Saccharomyces cerevisiae S288C: one gene and its partner. The gene in region 1 interacts genetically with each later gene. Each region holds a gene or a part of one and is shown on either strand. Other genes may lie near its edges.

The links. Genes that interact genetically often act in the same process or in processes that back each other up.
Region 2: of LRG1 (region 1) and ROM1, a mutation in one rescues a mutant of the other (synthetic rescue), as found in Saccharomyces cerevisiae (2 studies listed by BioGRID).

What each region holds. Positions count from the first base shown.
Region 1 is NC_001136.10:19,609-28,506, forward strand, and holds LRG1 (GTPase-activating protein LRG1), read left to right. Parts: upstream 1-3,214; coding exon 3,215-6,268; downstream 6,269-8,898. Other genes in the region: YDL241W (uncharacterized protein), read left to right, coding at 1,027-1,398; ADY3 (Ady3p), read right to left, coding at 6,795-8,898. UniProt on the Saccharomyces cerevisiae protein: Acts in signal transduction. Activates CDC42, RHO1 and RHO2. Negatively regulates 1,3-beta-glucan synthesis. May be responsible for the down-regulation of CDC42 during mating.
Region 2 is NC_001139.9:624,010-633,409, reverse strand, and holds ROM1 (Rho family guanine nucleotide exchange factor ROM1), read right to left. Parts: upstream 5,605-9,400; coding exon 2,137-5,604; downstream 1-2,136. Other genes in the region: ENV11 (Env11p), read left to right, coding at 1-1,929; ART5 (Art5p), read left to right, coding at 6,326-8,086; YGR067C (uncharacterized protein), read left to right, coding at 8,624-9,400. UniProt on the Saccharomyces cerevisiae protein: Stimulates the exchange of RHO1 GDP-bound form into GTP-bound form.

The DNA.
Region 1 (8,898 bases):
TGCTAGAAAATGGCCCTATAATTAGAAAGCTCAAAAAATAACCCAATGCTGCATCGATTTTTGGAGAAAGGGGGTCAATCATCATCTATCTTCATAAATAACGAGTTGCAGAAAAATTGGAAACTGGTTGATTTTGAAAAGTTTTCATTTTTCTGGCAACAAATTATAGCTACAAAAAAAGAAGTTATGGCGCATAAGATGCATCAATATATGGTGTGACCAGATTGGACGTAACTAGTACTCATGTTATTATTCATATCCTTCATTTTTCCTTCTTTTCTTCTCCTTCTCGAACAGTAACTTCAGATTGAAAGACGTGAGGATGCTTTAGAATGCACATTAAAATTAATATACTACTGGCCTCTTGTGTTTGTCATTGGCTTCTATTTTCAATAAAACATCCAGACAACCCTGCTGTTAATTTTGGAAAAAAAATTTCGCCGATTCTAATCATGTGACTCCTTTTCCCCAGGCAATACCGGAGAAAGCGTTCTATCTCAAACTATATAATTTGCGCTGCTCGTCTCCAAGCCCATGCTAGTGTTTACTTTCGGTTGTAAAAGGTAACTAGAAGTTTTAACGCAAGCATTGTATTATATTTTCCCACAATTGCTCTTAAGGACCTTTTTTTTTCTTGCGTGATCCTGCACTATTGAAAAGTCTTTATCAAAAATAGATGAAACTTTTTCAGGGTTCAACATTTAGAGGCTTTTCTCATATTCTTTACTCAGTTGCCTGCGAAGACCCTTCTGCCCGCTGCGCATTTTCTTAGAAAATCAAAAAAATTGCCTTTTCATCTTTTACCTTCCGAGTTGAATATGTTGACTATTTGCAAACAGGCGTATGATTGTCGTATATAACAGGGCACTTTCGGCAGTGAATCAATAGGAGGCGTATAAGAAAAGCCAATTAGTACCTATATATATATATATATATATATATATATATATATATTCCTTTATTATAATTCCTATCAGCGATTTTTGCATCACACCCAAGAAAAATCTATAATAGAGACACAAAAAAATGAACGTAACTGAAAATGCTCTATTGTTTAAGTGCGGTAGCAAGGGCTATATTAATCAAACCTATACGCCGACAGAAATTTATAATTGTGGGGTAGCTGAAGGAAAGAAAACTGCTAAAGAAAAGAACCCAACTTATTCAATTTTTTATGATACATTTCTCACTGGGCAGCCTGCTGAAAGTCCTGAAACGTTTACGTGTGGTTCGCATGGCTTCACAAATGCGAGTTATGTGGCAAGCGACTTTTATGCATGTGGTTTTCTGCAAGGGAAAGGTACAGAAACCAATGCGGGAATACATAATACAAGGCCTTCTCATTCTCTCGCCAAATTTACCATACTGTTCATGCTAGTGTTGTATACAATTGTCTAATTCTCAAGGTATGACACTTTGGATTGGTGGTCGCAGTAGCCACCATATAATTTTTTATCGTTTCTACATATAATACGAGACAGTCAGACAGAACTTTGGGTCGCCTGAGAAGAAAGACTATAAAAATGTAACCCGTCAGTAGGACTCATCTTAAAACAGTGGGTAATTTACTAAGGAGGCTGGAAAAACTGCGATAATCGGCTTATAGTACATATATATAGAATAATCATTAATCGAGCCTTTACCGCGAAATTCATGGATTTCTCAAAAACAAAGGTGCAATTACATGTTAAGCACCGAATTTCTATGCGAAACAGGTCCGTCTCATCAGTCATAGCTTTCCAAGTATATAAAACTTGAACGCAAAAGTGCGTCATCGACGCCTTTTTTTGCGCAAGGATTGTTACTATTCATTTAATGAACTCTGATGTCTTAATAAGCCAATGGTATCCATAAGTGAAGGTGAAGTCTACTGTGTTACATTAGCAAGTCAGAACTCCTATACGATACAGTATACTGCATTATGGGCACTAAAATAATTTAGATTATAGAAAATATCGATACTATGCTTCCACTTCTCACGAAGCGGCCATGTTTTAAATGAAGTACGTTAACGCTAACACAAGGCTTGACAACTTTCATGAGCGTCAAATAGTCTACGTGTGGGCTCACTTTTTCAGATTTCTTCTTGGCTTTTGTGAGATGTATAATTAACAATAATCATAAAATCGCTACATAAAACAAAGCATAAAAAATTACAGATTTCCTGTTCAAAAATCAAATCGGTCCAGTTCAGCTATTGTTCTGCCGTTGTTCATGCTCAGAAAATTGGACCATGGTGTCATCTAACTTTAGTTGGTCCCATTAAGCTCTCTTCTGTATATCATGTTTGCCATATTGTCATATCATCTGCTTAGTATTAAACCGTTGTGGAAAACAAGAAAATTGCGAATTACTAGTATAGAAAATGCATTCTAAGTCGCCTGTGATTCCAATAGCAAAGAAATTGATCTTAATGGAAGTAGGAAATAGCTGTGGCAAAGAGACAGGATACTAAGATTGGTTTAAGGCGAGGTCATACTTAGCTATTTCCTTCACCAACATTGGTTTTCGAACAGTCAAGAGATGAAAACGCAAAAAAGTGCACTATAAAGTAAATACTCAAACGTTCCCAAAACAAAACGAGAAGAAGCGATAGGCACCTCAAAACTGAAATTATGGGCAAACAATATAACCCGTAAAAGATCACTTTACGACCAGAACATAATCAACATGGGTGGCCCCCATGTTGTACTCAGTTAGCTTTTTGAGCTAGCAAATATATCAAGAAGCCCGCATGTGCTACTTACGTTTGAATTACTTCTCGTTGTAACGCACTTTTCTACAACGTACCTCACTAGTAAATATAACTTAATGCTTGCAGGTTAGCCCATCGCTACAACACCTCCCCACAAAGTATTTACTTCAAGAAATCGATCTTGGCGAGTATATCCTTATCTTTATGTAAGTATCTTTTTCGTCTTCAAAGTATGCCGGGTATTGATGGGCACGGAAGATGTAAACAAAATGGAAAACAAATAAGAACAGAATCTGAAACGTCATTTGAGAATTTAAAATATGTAAATCATTCCTCTCGAGCCAACCAAGGCTGTTCTTGCTAGAAACCAGCAATTGGGCTTCTCATTCAAAACAGTATCCGTCTTTGCCTTAACATTGTTATTTGGCCTTTATCCCAGATATACGCAACCGTATTTATTCAAATCCAAAGAAAAAAAGAGCAGACAAATTATCAAACAACAAGTACCGGAGGTGAGCAATGATTCAAAATTCTGCTGGTTATCGATCGCTGAATACTGCATCTCCGATGACCGTGCAGGTGAAGAATCAGAAGAAAATATGCGCCCGTTGTAACAAGTTAGTTATACCCGATAGCCAACGAACTAAAACAACTTTAAAGGCTCTCGGTAAATATTATCATGAAAGTTGTTTTACCTGCCAAGACTGTCAGAAACCTTTAAAACCGAAGTACTTCCCATATCAAGTAGACAAGACAAGTGAATCTATATTGTTATGCCAATACGATTATTTTAGAAGACATAATTTGTTATGTCATGTATGTGATACCCCATTGCGTGGATTATATTATACCGCATTCGGTTACAGATACGACGAAGAGCATTTTTCTTGTACAATATGTGCTACTCCTTGTGGGGTTAAAAAATGCTTCATGTACGGAAACCAATTGTATTGCAAGTACCACTTTCTCAAGTATTTTTCGAAACGTTGCAAAGGGTGCGAGTTCCCAATATCGGATCAATATATCGAGTTTCCTAAAGGTGAAGAAATACATTGTTGGCATCCGGAATGTTATGGAATTCATAAATATTGGCATGTAAATTTAGCAGCAGAAACTGTTGGTTTGCAGTACCTTCCCAAGCTGGAATATAACCCAAATTCCGGAGACAAAGATATAAACCCAACTGCCTACGAGTTAGATAAACAAATGCAGGCGTTTAACTTTATTCTATCTAAAACGTGGTCGGTTTTATATCGTTTTGAGGAAGAGGCAGCTTCTTGCATTTCTGATATGTTTCAATATTTGACAAGCAATGATCAGTTAAAGGGCATAGAGTCTACGGGTCTGTTGGTACTAAAAATCGACTGTCTTTTCCGGGGACTGGATACTTTAAACCTCTCGACGAACAAAAGTATGCCAGTTAACAGTGATCAAGAATGCATTGAAAACAACGCAATGGCGGCCAGTAAATACAGCAAGTTTCCCAAAAATCTGTCCACAAAAATTATGATATATTTACAACTCTTAAGAAAGTTAGGGACAGAAAACAAAAACGAAACTATCACAATTTCATCTTTTATGTCTGTTATTACTGGATTAGCCCATTTTCTAAAACTGTTAACAAGATTTGGGCTATATACGGCTCTAGAAAACAATAAGTTGACTCATTCTGTTAATCCATTGTTGAGGTTTTTAAGAGAAGTAGAGAAAAATGAGCTTTTTGAAAATAACCCGTTTCAGTATATAAAGACTCCTGTTAACGCCACAGATAGTTGCGCTGGATGCAATAAATACATACAGGAGGAATGCATTCAATTTTATGAGCACCGGTGGCATATTGCTTGTTTTACTTGTTCTTCATGCCATAAGAATATAAATCCGAGGAGTTTGACGGATCCCACCTTTAATAAAGAGAAAAAAAAGATACTATGTTCTCACTGCTCAATTGATGATCCGGCCTCTGTGCCGGGTTTCAAATTTGTTACTAAGCTAGCACAACTAATTTTTCTTCTAAAAATTGCCCTAGTCAAATCAAGAACTGTAATGTTGAAATCGAAAGCATCTAACAAGGTAGGCAGAAACTCTTTACAGAGTACTATGCTAAAGGAACAAACTTACATTAGGACACTGAATGATATTAAAAGATTGAGATCTAGAAGAGAAAGTGTTCGGGTCACTCATAACAAACAACAAGCTAGAAAATCAGTGATACTGGAAACTGCAGAGACAGATTTAAATGACCCGACAAAACAAGGAGATAGTAAAAATCTTGTGATTCAAACAGATGACCCATCATCGAGCCAACAAGTGAGCACACGTGAAAATGTTTTCAGTAATACTAAGACGTTGACACTAGATGATATTTCACGTATTGTTGCCGCTGAACAAGCAAGGGAGCTAAGACCTAACGCTTTTGCACACTTTAAAAAACTAAAAGAAACCGATGACGAAACTTCGAATGTTGTTCCCAAGAAAAGCGGAGTTTATTACTCTGAATTAAGTACGATGGAACTCTCGATGATAAGGGCTATCAGTTTGTCACTGCTAGCTGGTAAACAACTGATATCGAAGACTGATCCTAACTATACTAGCTTAGTCTCAATGGTCTTCTCGAATGAAAAGCAAGTCACAGGTAGCTTTTGGAACAGAATGAAAATCATGATGAGCATGGAGCCTAAAAAGCCCATCACTAAGACTGTTTTTGGTGCTCCTTTAGATGTGTTGTGCGAGAAATGGGGTGTTGATTCCGATTTAGGTGTGGGGCCAGTGAAGATTAGGATCCCCATAATTATTGACGAGCTAATATCATCTTTGAGGCAAATGGATATGTCAGTAGAAGGTATTTTCAGGAAAAATGGAAATATCAGAAGACTGAGAGAACTAACTGCTAACATCGACAGTAATCCAACAGAAGCTCCAGACTTCTCGAAAGAAAATGCAATCCAATTATCTGCTCTTTTGAAGAAATTTATCAGAGAGCTTCCCCAACCGATTTTATCGACAGACTTATATGAACTATGGATTAAGGCCGCGAAAATTGATTTAGAGGATGAGAAACAGCGTGTTATATTGCTAATATATTCCTTATTACCCACTTACAATCGCAATTTACTGGAGGCACTTTTGTCATTTTTGCATTGGACGTCCTCATTCTCTTACATTGAGAATGAAATGGGATCAAAAATGGACATTCACAATTTATCCACAGTCATAACACCTAATATTTTATATTTGCGACATAAAGAAATTTCCAATGATAACGTCCCTGACGAACCAGAATCAGGTTTAGTTGATTCATTCGCTCAAAACAAGGGAGAAAATTACTTTTTGGCTATTGAGATAGTTGATTACCTGATTACTCACAATGAAGAAATGGCAATGGTTCCGAAATTTTTAATGAATCTTTTAAAAGATGTGCAGTTACAAAAATTAGATAACTACGAATCAATCAACCATTTTATTTCCACCGTTATGCAAAGTAAAACAATCGATTATTCCGAATGTGACATAAAAACTCCTGTCACAGTCAAAGATTCGACCACAACGGTCATACAAGGTGAAATAAACAAATAATAGGCAGAAACTGTAAGTTTCCCCTCATTTTCCTTTTTTTCTTCTCCTTCCCCTCAGATTTCGAGGTTTGTCGTTCTTATTAGAGTTCTTTGCTTTTTTCTTTGCCTATTTCAATAAAATCTTACCAGTATGCTATGGAAATGGACATTATTTTATTATTATACAACATAGTATATTCTGACTAAAATGGAATTAGAAATTGTAACATTAGTATGTACTTATAATCATTTGTATCATTGTATTACTCGCCTTTTGATGTAAATTTTGTTTATATCTCAGAACATCTCCAACAGCAGATCAGAAGTTACATTGTTCTTGTAAGTGCTTAAGAAGTCTGTTAGCAAATTGAAATCTTTCAGAAGAATATTCCACCAAAATTTCGGAAAAGCAATACCAGCGGTAAAATATCTGCCATGCTCTATATTATGTGACTTTATTTTAGGTGCACCCCCCACCAGTAACTTATTCTCTAAATAATAATTAATGACACCATTGAATATATTAGTTCTAAATAAAAAAAAAAAAGCTAAGAAAAGAAATATTTAAACAACGCTTGCAAATCATACTCAAGAGGATGCTTTACTTCAGCAATATCATGATTGTTCAAAAACTCATTCATTGCGACCTTTCTTCTACTTTTGAAATCTAACTGTTTACCAAAAACCTTAAGGTTCAAATCATTAGCAAATTTTGTGAGAAGTGTAAGCTCACATCTAAGTTGAATGACAATTGTTGGTACAATTTTTAAGAAGGTTTTTAATGGGATATCCAACACAATTAATAAATTTTTGATTAGATTTTGCGATTGCACATAGGTAAGGTCTGTCAGAATATCAAGACCCAAGGAGTCGTACTTTTCCTTCGTTATATGTGGAAAAGATTTTCCAACAGTTTCAAAATTAAGTTCGGTAGAAGGATCACCATATAGTTTTTTTAAATTCAGCTTCTCTTGGAATACATCTTCTTTTAGTGATAGAATTGTTTCTTCGAGTTTTAATATTTCACTTTGTTTTCCAGCTAACTCGTCAGTAATTTTCTTATGTGTGTTTTCTGACTCTTGAATTTGAGTGCTCCATCTTGAAGCAATCAAAGCCTGATTCTGAAGTTTCTCAACAATTTCCTGGTGTTCATTCATGTAATCGTTCAATTTATCTTCGGCATTTTTCTGAATTTTTTCACTTAGTATTAATTTTTCTTTTAACTCGCTCTTCAGTTTTTGAAAGTTTTCTTCCTTGAGGTTCAGGATATCATGCCATCTCCTTTTTTCCAAACGAAATTGTTGTTCTTTTGTTAACGCCTCTTTTTGAAGATATTTTATTTTGTGACTGTGCTGCTGTTGCATAAAATGTAATCTTTCATTAATCAATTTAAAGACAGAAATGATTTTTTCAAGACGTATACGGTCATTCTTTTCCAAAAGTTCTATCTTTCCTTTTAATTGTTTGTATTGCTCCATATTTTCAAGATTTTTGATATCTTGAAAATCCGGATAAAGCTTGGCAAAACCGTTTTGAAACATCGAAGGGGAATGGCCACATTTCATTTCTTCTAGTATGAATTTACCAAGGTCTTTCTCAAAAAGAGAAAGATTTTGCATATAGCTGTAAACATCATTTAACCTTTTCTCGTAAAACGAACCATTATCATGTAATTTTTTATTTTCATCTTGAGAAAGTTGCAAATTGCTTTTCAGTATTTCAACTTCAGATCTTAATTTTACTATAGAGTTATTCGATTCGTTAATATCTTTTAGAAATTTATCATTTTCTTGCTGCAAGTTTAGGATTTGTTTTTGCTTCCTGTATAGTTCCGAAACTAAAATATTTCTTTGAGAAAAAGCTTTACATTTAGTTTTGGCACTAGTCACTTCATTCTTCTCCTTCTTGCTAGCGTTTTTGTTTTGAAAGTCTGTAATTTTTTCTTCTCTAATTTTTTTAATTTCTTTGCGAAACCGGTCCTGAACAATGTTGAGCCTTTTTGATGCAGCTTTTCTTTCGTTGTGGAATTCCTTCTGCAAGTCTTCTATTCTTTGAAGTTTAGCATCATTCATGCTATTAAGTTCTTCTAGTTCTTGAATCCTGTCATCCTTCTCTTCTAGTTTTTGTCTTAGTGCTTTGATCTCTTCATTTTGGGACTGGAGCTCATCTAATACCTTGGGTAAACTATTTTCTTTAGAAATACTTCCTCCATATGATGAAGAAGATAGCCTAATTTCTCCTAATTTCATATATTCGGACTGTTCTTCATCTGGAGTTTTAGATGAGCGAAATACGTTCTCTAGATGCGCAACCTCTATATTCTCCTCCAGACTCTCATTGCTTACAACATAATGCTCATCATTTGAGATTGCTGCGACTTTGTGGGGATTCGTGAGGAGCTTTGTAGGTGTAGAAGAAAATCTATTCACTTCAATACTATTGTGTACTTTGTATGTGGTAAATTTACCAGGGCTTACATTTCCTAATGTACTGGGCTTTCCTGCAGGTGACAGAGCCTGCGAGCCTATTCCTACAGTTGGTAAACCACCCCTTTGTAGAAATTTATTAGGCGATTTTAAAGTATTTTTTTCCGTAGCATTTTCCAATGTACTAATGTTACCAGAAGGTGAAGAGGCTTCTGAACCTGCCCAA
Region 2 (9,400 bases), on another chromosome or scaffold:
CTTTTATCAAAATTTCATAGGATCCCTCCTTTAACTACCAATATAATAGAGGAGTCAATTATAGGGTTGTCAAAATCAATTGATGAGTTGATCAGAAGGTCTATATCAAGGAATGATACACAATTACCCTTTACTATCCATTTATCCGATAGTAAGGAATCAAATCAACCTCTTTACTTGAAATATTCTAGGGAAATTCGGGCACAATTGTCTAACTTGGACTTATCCCATCTTATTTCTGTAAATTTTACAGAACTGGCTGGAAAAAGATCATTATTTTCTTTGCAACTGTTCGATAATACCAACAAAGTTTCGAAGGGTTTACCATTATCTATTTTTGTACGTAAAACAACGGATATAGATATTAGTGTCTGGCAGGAACAGCTCAACAATTTGTATTCGAAATACCCTGGCTTACAAAAATCGGTGATTTCTATAACTTTGCCTCAAAGCCATTATACAATGGTACTAGAGAATAGAAACAGTCATAATTTTACTTTCCATAGCGGGAGTGTGAGGGAGATAAAGTACCATACTTGCATAGTATCTGAATTACTTCATTGTTTTTTACAGCCGTTGTTTAATGTTCCTACTGAATCAATGCTGTCTTCCTTTTCTGTGGCCAAAGAAAATCATTCAGGAGGCTCTTTGTTAGACTCATTAATAGATTTTTCCCATATTGATTTATCATCTACTATTCTCGGCAAAATATGCTGTTTGATAGAAGAAGTTAACTTAAACGACTCCCTAAAATCGGATTTCCTATTATACTGCCAAAATTATACACAACCTAACTGCAATGAACTTACTTCAATCCTTTCCTGTAACTGCGATAGATTTTCAGCTTTGAAGAGTATCTTAGAAAAATTTGCAAACTTAGTTCCTTTCTTCAAGTCTATCAACTCTCATTTAGAAAATGAATCACTTAGTGAATCCGATTTTCGTCTAATAAACACGGTAGAAGAGACGTTAAGAACTTTCGAGCAATCAATTGAGTACTTTGCTTCTTCCGCTCCATTGAAATTTACCCATACCTTGGTTTTTATCATTAAGTTTGAGTTATATTTGACAGAGATTATACGAAGCTTCAAATTCACCAAATCTAAAAAGCCCTTTGAAAAAATCCTAGCAAGGCTTCTAAAAGTTAAAGACCTTTATTTACTTGATGATGTAAACTTGATTGGTGCTTTCCTGTATCCATCAATCTTCCAAAGTAAAAGCCTTCTAAATGAAATCTTTGGCACAACATCGGTAAATAAAATAGTTCATAACATGACCAAAATTGTTCTAAGGTATCTTAAAAACTTTATCAATATAACTAATTTTCGTTCCTCTAATAGTGGTGGGGAGAGCGGTCGGAATTCCGGTAATAATCTTCTTTCTGACTACGAGGCCATTTTTATGAAAGAATCACGGGACGTAGAGCTTTTATGTAACACCAAGTTAACCGCACCACTAACAGAAGATTCATTACTTGTCCAAATCATTCGGGATGATCTATTACGCTATGTCAACAGAATTGCGCATGAGCTGCCTAATGCATACCATGACTACTTAAATGATAATGATATTAGCTTCGATGGATCTCACTTTACAAAACATGAGTTATCTGAGGAAAACGACTCTAACTCGGGGGAATGGTGCCTAAATCCCATGGAAGAGACATTTGATATTCATATTCCTATCTCGGATTCAATTTGGAATAATTACATAAGCAGTAAAAACAAGATTGAAGTAATCGATATTTTACTTCAGTTGCTTTCAGTAAATTCGACATCTTCAATACGGTCAGAATTATCTTCTCTAACAGCTAATCAAGACTTCAGTACCAAGTTGAGTGAGGAAACAATTAAAATCAAACTTTTGAATTCACAGTTTAATCTCGAAAAAATTAATTTTCACTCTGGATCAATTTTCGATGCTTGCTAGTGACATAATATTCCAAAGGAAAGGACAATATACTTTCAAGACTTTATTTTCTAGGACAAAATTCTTGTCCATTGTATTATATTTTCTTAATGGCACCCATATATTTCAGGTAAACTACATATGGTTATACAAATAAAATAATATTACTTAAATTTAGATGTATAGGTTCAAGAAATAAGTTTTAAGGTATTAATATGGGCGGTCAACTCAAAAATTTAACAGTTCGATAATTTCAAATCCTTGAGGATCCTCATAACAATATAAGATCTTCTTGGCATATGATTTTAACATACGTATCTTGTTTCCAAGTACACAGCGGACAAGTTCTCCATTTTCTATATGTCTAATTTCAATAAAGTTACTATTAATTGCCACAATATAAGGGTAGGAACACGCGAACTGTTCTGGTTCCCCCTCCCAATGAAAACATCCCTTTGTCTCCTCCCTCTTCCCTTGCTTATTGAGAAAAAAGCAGAGTTCTGGAAAACATGCAAAAGTTGAATTTTTTATCGGAAACATGGAAACTACTTTGAACGTCTCTTTATACATGTTCGCTAAAACTTTGTTATCATGTAGATTTAAAAGCTCCCTCATTTTAAATCCATTTTTATCACACACTTCCGGTACGTTTAATATTTTGATATTTTTTTTACAACCAATGCAGATCTTATTCTCCAAAAAAGAAAAGGACAGAGGTTCAGAATCAACGCTAAAATCTACCAAGCCTGCCTTTAGGTTTTTTTTAAAATTACCGCTATTAAAATCAAATATCAAAGGATTAACAATCAATAATTGTACGGCGTGCAAAAAATGATGTGCAATCATAATGATTCTTTTACCATTACAGAAACCGTCTTTGAACATTGCAACATATTTAAATAACACTTTAGAATTTTTTCTGAAAAGAAAATCTGCATTTTCTGCATCGTCGATTACGTCTAAAGGACAGCCGTACAGTTTTTTGTCAATTAGAAGAATCATAACTTTATATTCTTCCAATACAGAGATCTGTGAAATTGATATTTTGTGCAGAAGGTGCACTGGTTTTTGATTGATCGATGTAGCATAATTAAGAACAAAGAGTCCCATATTTGTTGCAACCAATAAAATTTTACCAGCATGACAGATTAGGACATCGTTGACGCGATTAGTATTTATGTATGAGTGAAAGAATTGACCTACCATTTGCTTAAAAGTAATATGTTTAGTTTCATCAAGGAGCCTTTTTTGCTCTTGTTTCACCTTTTCTATTAATGTCTGTAATCCGGCCGGCTGCGGCGCGTACAAAGTAACTTGATATTGTTGTTTCGTACCGTAATAGGCGAATACAATAGCATTCTTGGGATTGCTCGTTTGATATTGGGGTAAGAGCACACCCGCTGAGCAATTTGGGTTTTCTGTCACATATCTTTTTATGGGTGGCATATCCTCAGCCGGACAAATAAACAGTAAAGGGAGTGGAATTGGTCTCTGAAATACAGTGTGTTGGTGCCACTTGTTTACAGCTTTTGATTTCAAGAATAATAGCATATTGTCGAGTAGGTAAAATTGAATGTCTCCTGAAAAGGACGCATCTGTTTTGTTCACGTCCTTCCTTGAGAGTAAACCTTCATGCTTGATTTTCCTTTTTTCGTTATTCAAACCCAGATTAACGTATTCATTTTTGAATAGAATTTTCTGCTTTAACACTTTAACGTCATAACGATCTTGTGCTGCACCGCTTGCTCTATCAATCCTTTTCATTAGATCCTTTAAAAGATCTTGGACTTTCATTAGCATTTGTAGATCATCTTTGTCTGTTACTGGGTCCGAGAAGTGTATTATTTCTCTTACCAACAGTGAATATCTACCAGGTCTTGAAACACCCTGAGATAGGAATGAATCGATCCCATGCCTCAGGGAAGAATTAGACACTTCATCGTCAAAACGAGCAAAATTGGGATTAACTGATCTTTGGGTTTCAATTAGATACTTTGCGTATGGTCTTGATGCTATGTATGACAGAAAAGGATCAAAGAAAGGAAGATACTGCAAAAATATATCTGCAATTCCAGGACAAATTGGGCTTAATGATTGCCTTTGTGCTAAAGCCTTCAAAAATTCTCTATTGACAGAATATATTTCATTGATATGTGCGAAAACGTGCTTTACAAAATTTATCCTTACATCAGATGGAATAATATTCGTTTCTAATAATTTCTTCATGAAAGTATCTCGGATGATTTCCAAAGATTTTACAAACTTCTTTTCTGTAGTAAACAACTCATATATTGCCTCCTGCCTTTTGATTTGTTGTTTGGATAATGATTCCCATACGCTCTTTGGTACAGAATTTGTCCAGGAAATTCGTTCATCATCCTCCTTATCGAGTGCTAACGAAATATTTCTCTTAAGACCACCACCTAATTTTAAATGTAAATTAGCCTGTTGTTGCAAACGATTGGGGCAAGAAATAGAGTAGCAAAGTTTTTCCAGAGAGCATGTAGAGGAATAACAATGTGTCAATGGGACAAAAACACCATATATTTCAGTTTTAGTACGGAGCGAATTAACTGAAGAAGATGATGAAGAAAATGTGTTGGCAATTGAAGTAGAACTCTGCGACTGATGTGCCATAAAAATTGATTCTGAAGATAACTCGTAAATCTCCAGTACAGAATCTCTTACGCCATGGTCATAAAGTACGTCATGGAACAATTTTTGAGCTTCCAGCGATTTTCCGATCAACATGCCCAAATTACGATCTAAGCTTCCTATGATCAAGCATAAAGTATCAATTGCTTGTTTTCCTGTAAAGGAATCTCTGTAAAGTAACCCCATCTTTTTATGCGTGCTCAATTTGATGGTCTGTTTGAATTTAATTGCTATTAGTGATAAAAGTGCAGGATAAACCAAAGGCGTGCCTTTGATCATGGATATTTCCGTCAGAGAGACAGGACTTGATTTGGACCTTGAATGATGACGTTGGTGTTGATTAGTATGGCGTCGATATTGACTAGAATGATTGGAAGAGTTTGATGAGCGTCTATTTTGGGTTTTCAGTGACTCTAATGCAAATAAAGAAGAGGTGCTAGAAGAACTATGTTTTCCATTGAATGAACTGTGTAACTCCATCGTGTGACCTGCACTTTTGGGAGTTGGAGGCGTAGATAGCTGGTTTGGATCCCCCATATGACTGCCACTGTTTTTGGAAAATGATAATAGTGAAGGAGATGAATGTTTTCTTACGTGAGGAAGCAAAACATTCGATCTTTTTTGAGAAGGTGATGAAGTGGTAGTGCAACTGTTACCTTTATCTTGTCTGGTCGAATCATTTATTGAAATTTTTTTATTAGTAGGTGAAATCTGATCGCCTGTGAAGGATTGTGGACTTGAATTAAGGTTTGTTGAAATATGTAGGACAGGAGATGCCTTTAATTGGTGGGAAGAACAGTCCGGTGCTATCCTATACCGTGCACCGGTGTCGTGCCCTAGTGTATAATCCTTCAATGAAGCCTTATTTTCATCTTCAGTACTATCTTCATCCTCATCGTTAGTGATAGAAATTTCATTGATGTTTGTCTGAACTTTGGAGCCGGAGAACAACTGAGTAGGGGTTGAAGTATCTGATTTTCTTTTCTTACCGAATATCTCATAAAAATATTTATTTCTTAGATCCAGTTCATTACTATTCATAACCTAACCAAATTCTTACCAACGACTTGGTTTTATTTATATCATTACTAAATCAACAAAATTTTTGCTTTAAAATTCAAACGTGGCGTTCTTTTTTTTGATTTAGTTTTATTTATTTACTTTTTCATTCAAGAGCAAAGAAAAGTTTAAAATTAACGATTCTCCCTTGGGCCCCTTATGATATGTCTAAATATTGCCGTTTTAGGGCAAAAAAGATGAAGTGCGTTTACTTTCGTATAGAGTTTGTAGATATGACATTGGCAACAAAAAATCATGGGAAATTTAAGAAACATACAAACGTATGCGTGAAAAAAAAATCGACACTAGACGCACTAGGTGGTGCTTAATTGGAGTACTGGAGCGCTCCTTTAGATACAAGATGACAATTTATTGAAGATCGAGTAGGGGACGGATTACTCCCACATTAAACAGCAGGTCTTTCTTATTATAAGGAATACAAAAACAATTGAAGTAAAATGTTAGATCTAAAAATGTTTCTTTGTCTTGCTTTGTATGTATGTAATAATATACTCCTGAATACTTCACTTCGTCTTTTACAATTCTAAAAAGGCAGTTTCTTCGAAAACTGAAAAAAAAAAAAAAAAAAAAAAAAAAAAAAGAAATAGAAGGAAAATGAAACAGATGATTAGGATGAGTATAAGATGGCAAAAGTAAAAAATATCTTGTACAGCTCTCGGCGAGAATAGGGTGAAGCAAGACCATGTTTTCACTTAGTTCGCTATCTAGCAGCGGTGGGCATTCAGAGCAGAAGGAAAGAGAGAGAATAAGTTATTTTGATATTAGAATAAACTCCCCGTACAAGGACATAATTTTGATCCAAGGGTCACCGTTGGAACTGTCGTCTATACCTTTATCAGGAAACTTAGTGATTTCAGTGAAAAATGAGATCGTAGTGAAGAAAATTTCGCTGAGATTGGTAGGAAGATTCAAATTGGAGTTTTTGCAAGTTGGCCGATATAAGAAGAATAGCAGTAGTTTGGCAAGTCTAGTTAAGGAAAAGCGTAAGATTTTCGAATGCTATTGGGACAACTTATTGGTTTCTTCAAAAGGGGATGTTTTAGTCGGTGGGGAAAATGCGGAAAATCAACATAACAGTAGTAGCGGTCGCAGTACAAGCAACCAAGATATGGACACCAGCGGCAACGCAATATTTCTAAGCAAGAGATCACTTTCGAGCCCTGTTTTCAACAAAATAATTCGAAGAAAGACCCATTCTTCCCACAGAAAAATACTAGAGCTACCAGAAAATGGTGTTACAGGAACCCCTTTCGAGGGTTTAAGAGAAAACGCCCGTAGTAGAAGCAGTAGTAGTAACACCCTCAATAACAATAGCCATAGTTATAGTAACAGAGACGGGTCTGGAAGTTCGTACTTATTCCTAATGAAAAGAGGCAACTACGAACTACCCTTCAATACAATGCTCCCCCCAGAAGTGTGCGAAACAATCGAGGGACTACAAAGTGGTAGCATACTGTATTCCTTTGAAGCCATTATAGATGGACGTCAGTTATGGGATACTGATCTGAGCGTTCATACTTCTCCTCACGGTCCAATCGGTAGCACAAGTACGAGCGGCAATGGTATGAGAACGAAGAATAAAATTATCATCAAAAAGTTCAAGTATCTCAGAATCCTTCGTACATTATCGATGGACAATCTTGCCATGCAAGAAGAAATTAGCGTGGGTAATACTTGGCGTGACAAGTTGCAATACGAAACGTCCATCCCGAGTAGGGCTGTTCCTATTGGTAGCACAACCCCCGTGAAGATTAAGATTTTCCCCTTCGAAAAGAACATTCGTTTGGATAGGATAGAAATGGCGCTAATCCAATATTACGCAATGAAGGACAGCAGCGCACAAATTTATGATGATGAAATAGCCGTCATGAAAATTACTCATCTAGCGGACTTCGGCCCGCTGACGGACAAACTTGACGTCGATTGTCCCTTTACAATTCCAGATAACCTCAAACAAATAACTCAAGACTGCTGTCTGCAAGACAACCTAATCCGTGTCATGCACAAATTGCAGGTACGTATTCTTTTACAACGTCAAGTGGATGGCGAATACAAGAACCTGGAGATCAAGGCGCAATTACCTATGTTATTATTTATTTCGCCGCATCTGCCTATGAAAGGCCGTCTAGTGTTGTTTGATAAACACGATGGCAAGATCCACTTCCGCCCTGGCGAATTAGTACCCCTTTTTTTAACCACTTACCCCGCGCAGGGTCTGACTCCAGGCGTTGAACTGAACTCCACTACAACGGCGCACCTCGCGCTGCCACAACCGCCACCGAATTATCACGAGAGCACCAACGATCATCTCATGCCGGCGCTACAGCCGCTCGGCGCCGATTCGGTGGTACTGACAGTGCCGTCATACGAGCAGGCGCAGGCGCAGGCATCGGCATCGTCTTACGTGACAGGGTCCGTACCCGCTTACTGCGACGATGACTGATCCCCGCTCTCGGCGCCCCGAGTCGGCTACCCCGCGTTGGCAATCCCCTCCGATCGTCCGCGGCAAAATGGTCGTCAATCGGACAAAGGGGGATGATGGGATCTGGTAATAGAAGAAAATATGGACTAAAGGTAGCCGCTAAAGCGATCCAGGCATGTGTTGCCAATGATGTAAGTCAAGCGAAGGAAATGGTTCAGTAATATGATAGACAGACTGCACTTCAAGGGTGCGCCCCCTCCCCCGCGCATATGCTTACAACGCAAAATAATTGACGTTTAATGTGGATACTTATCGTAATCGCTGCATTATAGATTTCGAGTCATGTTCACTTAACCCCACATATTTATATAGAACGCATCTTCAAAGTACTTATAAAGTTTAGTTTTACATTTTTCTGCTTTCTATTTCTTCTTTTTCGGTTCTTCTTCATGCCAGTTGGCATGGCTTAAGAGCTTTACTTGTCGCTTTTATTTAAAACCTTCTCTCGGGAGAAGACAATTGTTGATATACAGTAATTGTATTTGCATTATCACTGCTATGGCTGCGGGTCAAAAAAAATATATATGTTCCTTTTGTTTGAAGCCTTTCTCGAGATCCGAGCACAAGATAAGGCATGAAAGGTCTCATGCGGGCGTGAAGCCTTTCCAGTGCCAAGTCTGTAAACACTCTTTTGTTAGACGCGATCTCTTACAGCGACACATCAGGACTGTCCACAGAACCTTCCTCTTATCCAGTTACGCGTCAATGACAGGCGATAAGGCTGATATCCCTGTATCACTTGGCGTTGGTGACGTTGATTCGACTTCACCCAGAGATATCAAAATGGAAACACTCGTTAATTCGATGATTAAGGTCAACAGCGGCCTTATCAATATTCACTATCATAGTAGTAATGTTGAAAAAATGGATAAGCAGCAACGTTGTGTGATTGGGAAGGAGTCCTCTAGTTTAAAGAAAGGGAAAAGCCGCTTTAAGCAGGTTAAAAGCCGGTTGGAGTCCTCCATCAGTGTAAAAATTTTGCAAGAATATTCATTAGATTTTATTAGCTCAAGAGATATTCTAACTTTCTTCAGAATGGGTGTAAGCCACTTGGTAGAAAATAAGATCTTCCAAAATTTCTTTCCAGACCTGTTCTCATCACTACAAAATGACGAGCTGGTGGAAAGTTTTTGGATTAACAAGCCTTTTGGTCTCATAATAGCTTGTCTGGGTATGTCCATTTCGTTAAATCAAGATTCTCAAAAACTATGGTTTATCTGTTGTACGAATTTGTATGCTAGCTCATCTAAACATGACAATGACTTTGACACTGAG